2 linked regions of the Caenorhabditis elegans genome follow. The protein of the gene in region 1 purifies or fractionates together with the protein of each later gene. This does not show direct contact. Each region holds a gene or a part of one and is shown in the gene's direction. Other genes may lie near its edges.

Region 1 (3,757 bases):
AGTAATTAAAATCTCTTGAAAATATAGTAAACAAAATTCGTTAATCCTATGTTTTCGAGGAACATCGTTTGCCGAATTCACGTGACTTTTTGCAAAACCTGTTCGTAAAGTTCACCAGTTCAATATTTTGCTATGAAAAAGGAAATGAAAGATGCAAACCTTTTCTCAGAGCTTCTAAAATAGTTAAGCATTTTTTTGGGCTTTTGTGCCTACCGTGCCTACTATATGCCTTTTGTAGTGATTGGTGCTTGAGTTTGTAAATTCTCGGTCACCTTCAAGACATGTGCGCATTTTTGTAAACGTAGAAATCTTAAATTCTCTGTCAACTTGAAAACTCTACATTATAGTTTTGAAAATAAAAACATAACACTTTACTAAATTACATACTGACACGAATAAACTTATTTTTGGCGGCATAAACCACATACTGATAAGATATCACAGTGAAACAAATTGAATTCTTTGTAAGTTCTCAGAAAGTTCTCAGATTTTTTTCTTAAGTTTTTCTTAGTGTTTATTAATAGAGAAGAAAGGGTTTATATATTAAAGATTGTATTGTTTTTTGTTGCGTTTTTTACTTGAACCTTACTTTACTTGCAATCTTGACCTCAAATACCAATTTCCAATTTATCGATTTTGGGTTGTTTCACGACAATGACTCGTCACCTTGAAATTGGTAGGACATTTCCCAATTAGCGATTTGAATGTTTTTTTCAAGAAGTTGTTTCCAATTTTCCAATTTTATGAGTAGTCCCACTGAGTACCAAAAAATCAGAACAGATGTTCATAGACCATTTCATTTTTCAAATTTCAACTCAATATCATTTGTGATTTAATCTAGGCTTGAAAAAAGACAATAGCAAGATTGGAAAATTTCGATTAAATTTTCTGACGTTCAATTTTAAATTTACCATATCCGTTAACATTTTTATTATTACTAACATATTAATAGTTCAAGAGTGCAGAAAATTCGTTTTTGATAAACGAAAAAGCCCTGTAAAACTATTATCTGGCTTTTTCTATGACTTAAAAACATGAAAACGCCCATTTTGAAAATGATATCATTGATATGGTGAAAAAGTTTAAAAAGTCACTTCCGAGTTCAATTGAAAAAGTTTCCATTTACATTGGATTGAACTTTGACATTTTTTCAACATTTGCTAACTTTTGTGGATATCCACAGTAAAACTTTTTGTGCATCAAACATGCTCCCAACAAACAGAAAACCATAGTATAGTTGAAAGCTTACAATTGGTACGTTTCTCGCAAGCTGCGACGTTTAGTTACACAGCTGTATGGTATCCCATAATTGTGGAACGGGAGAGACCTTTGTCTTTGCCCATTTGACAACCATGTCAGTACGTCACTCGGCCGTTCTCACCTTGAGCGGCCCAGCGGCGAGTCCTCAGGGGTATCTTTATATCTTTAAATCTGTCTGTGGTGGAAATTTTTGAACTATATTATTTTTTGAAAGTTCACTAGATACCGTATTCTCCATATTAGAATGTTGCTATTTATATTGCACTCTCCTAATAGTTTTGTAAATTATTTGTAAATAATAGTTTTATAGTTTTATAGTTTTTATAGATGATCGAAATTGTTTCGAGAATAAAAATGTTTTAAGTTCCAAAACTTTTAAAAAGTCTAATTTTAGCTATGAAAACTCTAAATTTTGACAAGTTTTCCGTATCACTGCGGTTAATAATTTTAAGCCTGCTACTAATAATCCTGCTCCCAACGCACAGTGCAAGAACATTGTGTGTACTTTGGTACTTACTTTGATACTTTACTTTGATGTCCGTTGGGTTCAAGTTGCGAGGCAACTGCGGACAAACTCTTTCCATTTTTCACGGTCGGTGCGTGCGATGGACAGCCATGGGTGTGTCAATGCAATGGACGTGCTGAGCCTGATCAGCATGTGCTTTTCAGCTTTTATTCGGCTGTTATAGATGTACTTCCTCTTTAATGATTCTAGTAATCACAAGTCTAGACCAAGTAATTTGATCTACAGATTTCTGTTTAAATCTCGAAATGTTCTATAAAACACCAACCAATTCGTCTGTATTTATTCATAAATTCAAACTATAATGGTTTCTTTTTTATGCAATAAATATAATTTTAAAATAAAATTGCAATTTTCAGATGCTGTGCCAGGTGTGCGGGGCAGAAGGACCGGAGCCCCATTTCGGAGGAATTTCATGTAGGTGAGCGTTGTATTCAATTGAAAATAAAAATCGATAATTTTTCAGAGCATGCGCAGCATTTTTCAGACGATATGTACACTCAAGGAAGTTGGACATTTCATGTACGTGTAAGCACCGGTTGGCAACTTCACATCCCTGCAGACACTGTCGGATGCTGAAATGTATGGCAACGGGAATGGTAAAGTGTAGTAAGTTTTTATGGATGAAATGTTTAAATATGATATACGAAATATCGAAAAAAAAGTCGTAAATAGCTACCTCTTTTCAAAAATGCATCATAGCGTTTCCAATAGCTTGTATTTTTACTCTTTCACTTTCAACTCTAGTGTACGTTTGTGTGTTTCAGTTTCTCCAATAGTTGCTCCCGAGAGCCTGACAAGTAAATTTTTTCAGAAGTGCAAGGATCCAGAGAGAAAAATAAAATTACCACATCTAGTCTACCTGGACATATCTCTTCAATATCTTTGTTATCAGTAAGTTTTTATTTTAAAAATTTCAATAAACCATATATTCTAGGCTCGCATAGTACCTCGTGATTGCTCAAATATCTCGTGTACAGTGAGTAAATGGACAAAAGTTGAAAAGATGCGAAAAGACTTATACGGAGAGAAAATTTGCGAAATAAACTTTACACAATTTTCAAGCTTCGTCAAGCGAGACACGCATCTTTTATGGGATCTTGGAGAGAAAATATTTACAGATGTAAAACTTTTGAGTGAGGCTGATAAGCATTCAATTCTTTGCAATTTTTTTCCTCGATGGATGATGTTGGATTCAGCTGTAGCGATTTGTCCAGATTACGAAGAATCAAAGGCTTATATCAAATCTAAAGATTATACGGATATGTTACTTCATTTTTACGGATCATCGATGCCGAAAGAAAAACGATTAAAGGATCACGAAATTTTAAAAATATTCAAACCATACTGGGATTTCCATTATTACGAGACCGCTGTTCCGATTCATTTCAAAAAACTCGACAAAATTGAGTACATGGCTATTTTTCTGTTGCTACTTTTTGATGATGGTAGGTTTTAATTTGCTACACATTGCTACAAAACATCTACAACAACAATATTTAAACATGAAATCACTGTTACCTATCCGATGATTGGTTCAAAGATGCGAGTCTGAAAAAAAAATCCAAATCGGAGGATTAAGCAGAGTAAAATGTTTTGTTCGTGATTTGTCATTTCAATTTTTAGTTTTCAAAAATTACAGTTTTTCTGCAAAATTTAAAAAATTGCAAAATATTTAAGGGTGGATTAATTCTCTAAAAATTGTTTAACATTTCAGCATACACAAATATCAGTGAGGAAGGCGTAAAGTTGTGTCAAAATGTGCGAAAAGTGGTTCAACGAGAACTAAAAGGATACCAAACTGACAGCAATTGCGACGAAATGCGTTTTGTGGAAACAATGGATACTTTGTTGTTGCTAGAAAAAGCCGAGGAAAAAATACAAGAAGAAGTGCTTATCTGCGGGTTTAATAATGTTACACTACACGAAGATTTCAGGACAATTTTCCAAGTGAAAAAGCTATAATTTACATGT
Region 2 (3,757 bases), on another chromosome or scaffold:
ATTAAAAATTAGTGCCAAAATAAAGAAAATCACTTGATTTATCTTTAAAAAAAAATCATTTTATGCAGCTGAAATATTCAAAAAAGCTGTCAAAAATCACCTGAAAGCTACCAATCATCGAAAAAAATTGGAGTTTTTCATTCCTTTTTGAGCTCTTTTTTCGAATGTTTCAGTTAAAATTGATAATATTTTCAACTAAATCAAGTGAATTTCTATATTTTGAACATAATTTTTAATGAGAAGTGTTGGAAAAACATGGCGCAATACGTCATTTTGTAGAATTACCACCCATGCCTGATTTGTTTTGATTTCAAATTTTATAGATTTAAAAAATTAATGTTTCTAAATTGTGTTCTGGAAAAAAAAACATTAGTTTTATAATATCACACTTGTACTATTTCTAAAACAATTTTCAATTCCAGAATCCAACTTCAATGCCTCTCACAATTATTCATTAATGTAACACTTCTCGGATGTGAATATTCTCAGACTTTAATGCAAAAGATTCGAACAATGGGTGCTGGAATTGCTGCTAACAAAGTAAGTGATCTTCATTATTTAAAAATATATTTCAAATTTAATATTCAGGATCGTACAAAAACTGGAAGTTACGTGAAGGCATCTGCAGCGAAAAAGCGACAAGCAGTGAAGACATCAGATTTAGAAGGAGCTTCTGATGAGTCTAAGTAAAAAAAACTTTTCAAAAATTGCAATTTTCAATCTTTTTGTTCCAGAAAAGTAAAAATGGAAAAGTCTCCATCGCCAGTAGCTCGTGAATCTTTTGATGAACGTCTTGGAAAACTCAAGGCATCTCTTGCAATGGTGAACATTTCAGATTTAACTTTTAATCTTTTAATCTTTTAATTTCAGACACCTCACCATCTAACGGGCGAACAAATGATGAAAACTGCCACGAATAGTTGTCTCATGAAGTGGCACGTGAACAAGATTAACCAGAAAATTGAAATAACTATCGATCGATATGTGGCCTTCAGACATACGTTTGTATAAAAATCTTCGAAACTATTTGAATTTCATGTTCTTTCAGATTCTCCCAATACTGTGTTGATCCAAGGGATTGTGCAATCAATACTCTAATTGAAAGCATTCTTTCGTGTGACGCCGCTGTTCACGAAGAAAGCTACGAAATTAGATTTGATGGAGTTCCGGTGGACGAGTGTTACGCTAAATCAGTCACCAGAAGACTTGCAAAAATTAAATCAGCAGTTTCTAATGGTGCACATACAGTTAAAGGCGAGCTTTTTTCATTTAAAAAAACAGTATCACTAAATTGAATGAAACATTTGGTCTCAAAAGTAAGGATTATAAAAGTTGGAACAATATCTCTTCAAAAATCATTTTAGAAGTGGGATTGTTGAATTTGATTGCAAGCTCGTTTTATCAATTTTCGGCTGTAAACCCATTTTTATTAGCGGCAACACGTTTAAAAATTTTAAAATATTGCTTCCGGTACTTATGGATGCCGTTCCCTGAAACAATTATTTTTAGAAAATATATTTGAAAATTGGAAGAAAAAAACTCGAAAGTTTGTTACAGTACTCAATCCGAACGGCAATTGGAAAACAAATAATTTTGCCTTCTTTTGAAAAAATGTATTTAGAAAACTTTTTCAGGTCTTACAACATATTTGGATGCAGTTAACATGTCAATGATTCAAAATACTCAAAAATTGGAAGGATGGTCTCAACAACTTGATCTCGTCACTGCCGATCTTCTTCTATCTTCTCGTGTTTTATCCAGCACTGAATGCACTAAACCAGCGATGGCAACGATCGCGAATCAAATGAGCGAAGACGTGTGTCAACTGATTCTCAACGATAAAATCAACGTCATTAACTCTATGAAATCTCACAGCTCTCTTGCATTCCAATAATCTCAATTAGCTTGATCTAGGGGAGCTTACTTTTTTTGCACTCGTGAATATAATTTCTATTGTTTTATTTATATTTGGCTTTGGTTTTTATACAACTACATCAAATTTCCTATGAATTTTACTGACTAATCGTTGCATTTTTACTCTAATTTTTTATAATGATGTTGAATCTCATCATTTTTACCTCTTTCGAAATGTTCACCCGAATCTGTATACCTATATGTGATTTCAGATGTCCTTGGCATTTAGAACCCTTTCGTTCGGTATTAAAAGATCACAACCGAAAAAGAAAGATGCCGATGATCTTAACAAAAAGAAAGAACTATCAACGATCACAGAAGAATCGCTTCGGAGATATGACGAACTTCGTGAAAAAATGATCGGAAAAGTCGAGTCAAAAATTGAGAAAAAAGTGAAGAAAAATAAAAAGAAAGGTTAATATTGTCTATTTAGTATAATACTTATAAACCATTTGTAATATTCAGCGTCGATTGAAATTCTTGCATCACGAAAGAGAGTACATGATTCTGACGGAGATTCTGAAAATGAAGTGGAGGAGACCGTTGGCGACGTGGAAAAGAGAATGCAGAAATTGGTGAGATTTCTACAGAAATTTAATTTTTATTTGAAAAAAAATCTTCAGCTCGACGACATTCGCCGTACCAATCGAATTTTCACTTGGGGTGATCATCTTCCTAATATTATTCTACGATTCTCCGATTCCAGCATGTCACCATCATTGCTCAATCGTCTATCTGAGAATTCAATCCGTCAACCATCACCAATTCAAATGCAATCAATTCCATTTATGACTGAGAGAAGAAATGTTCTTGCTAGTGCTCCCACAGGTAAAGACTTGAAAAGAGAAAAACTTCCAATTCCGGCTGTTCCAGGATCAGGAAAAACGTTGGCGTTTGCTCTTCCAGTCATCGATGAGATTCTCGAATTAAAGCAACGTGCTGATTATTCATCCTCTAACTCTTCGAAGCTGTTGGCAGTGGTACTCGAACCGACAAGAGAACTAGCAGCACAGGTTCTACAGAATTTATAGAATCGTAATCAAATTTAACGATTTTCAGACTTACACCGAATTTTTGAAATATTGCGCCAATACTTCGATCTCAGCTGCCAACTTCAGTGGAGAAGAAACTGATATTCAGCATGCAGATATCCTCGTGTCAACTCCAAATCGTATCGTTTTTCATTTGGATAAAATTGATACGTCTTCATTAAGGTTTGCATTTGAACCATTCCCTAAAAACTTTGTTCATTTTTTCAGATGGCTTGTCGTTGATGAATCCGATCGTTTGTTCGAGGTTGTTGAAGGCCAGGACAAGTGCTTCCGTAACCAACTCGCTGCAATTTACAAGGCTTGTGATGCCAAATGCACACGTGTCGCATTCTTCAGTGCCACATTTTCACATGAAGTTGAAAAATGGTACGTTTTCGAAGATTTGTCATATCAAAATTCCATATCTAAATTCCAGGTGTAAGGAGAATATCGATGAAATTGGTATGGTATGTGTTGGTGAACGAAACTCGTCTAATACAAGTGTGAAGCAAAAGTTAACCTATTGTGGAACTGAAGATGGAAAGAAAATCGCTATTCGAAATTTGTTGCGAACTTCCTTCAAACCACCAGCTCTAGTTTTTGTACAAAGCAAGGATCGTGCCGTGCAACTGGTGAAATTACTGTCTGCAATTGATTCAAATCTAAAAGTTGATTCAATCAACAGTGGAAAAAGTGATAAGGAAAGGGATGAAACGATGGAAAGGTTCCGTCGAGGAGAGATATGGGTTCTCGTTTGTACTGAATTACTTGGAAGAGGTCTTGACTTGTCTGATGTTGGATTGGTTATCAAT

Evidence for each region.
Region 2: the proteins of nhr-162 (region 1) and ddx-52 fractionate together in Caenorhabditis elegans (co-fractionation; one large-scale study listed by BioGRID). This does not show direct contact.

The regions. Positions count from the first base shown.
Region 1 is NC_003283.11:6,990,247-6,994,003, reverse strand, and holds the start of nhr-162 (NR LBD domain-containing protein), read left to right. Parts: upstream 1-2,132; 5' UTR 2,133-2,142; coding exon 2,143-2,204; intron 2,205-2,249; coding exon 2,250-2,392; intron 2,393-2,597; coding exon 2,598-2,677; intron 2,678-2,720; coding exon 2,721-3,231; intron 3,232-3,500; coding exon 3,501-3,748; 3' UTR 3,749-3,757.
Region 2 is NC_003279.8:8,596,532-8,600,288, forward strand, and holds the start of ddx-52 (putative ATP-dependent RNA helicase DDX52), read left to right. Parts: upstream 1-2,126; coding exon 2,127-2,328; intron 2,329-2,379; coding exon 2,380-2,489; intron 2,490-2,537; coding exon 2,538-2,742; intron 2,743-2,787; coding exon 2,788-2,927; intron 2,928-2,973; coding exon 2,974-3,128; intron 3,129-3,173; coding exon 3,174-3,332; intron 3,333-3,381; coding exon 3,382-3,757. Other genes in the region: paxt-1 (Partner of xrn-2 protein 1), read left to right, coding at 423-540, 589-686, 735-822, 871-1,001, 1,049-1,254, 1,635-1,894.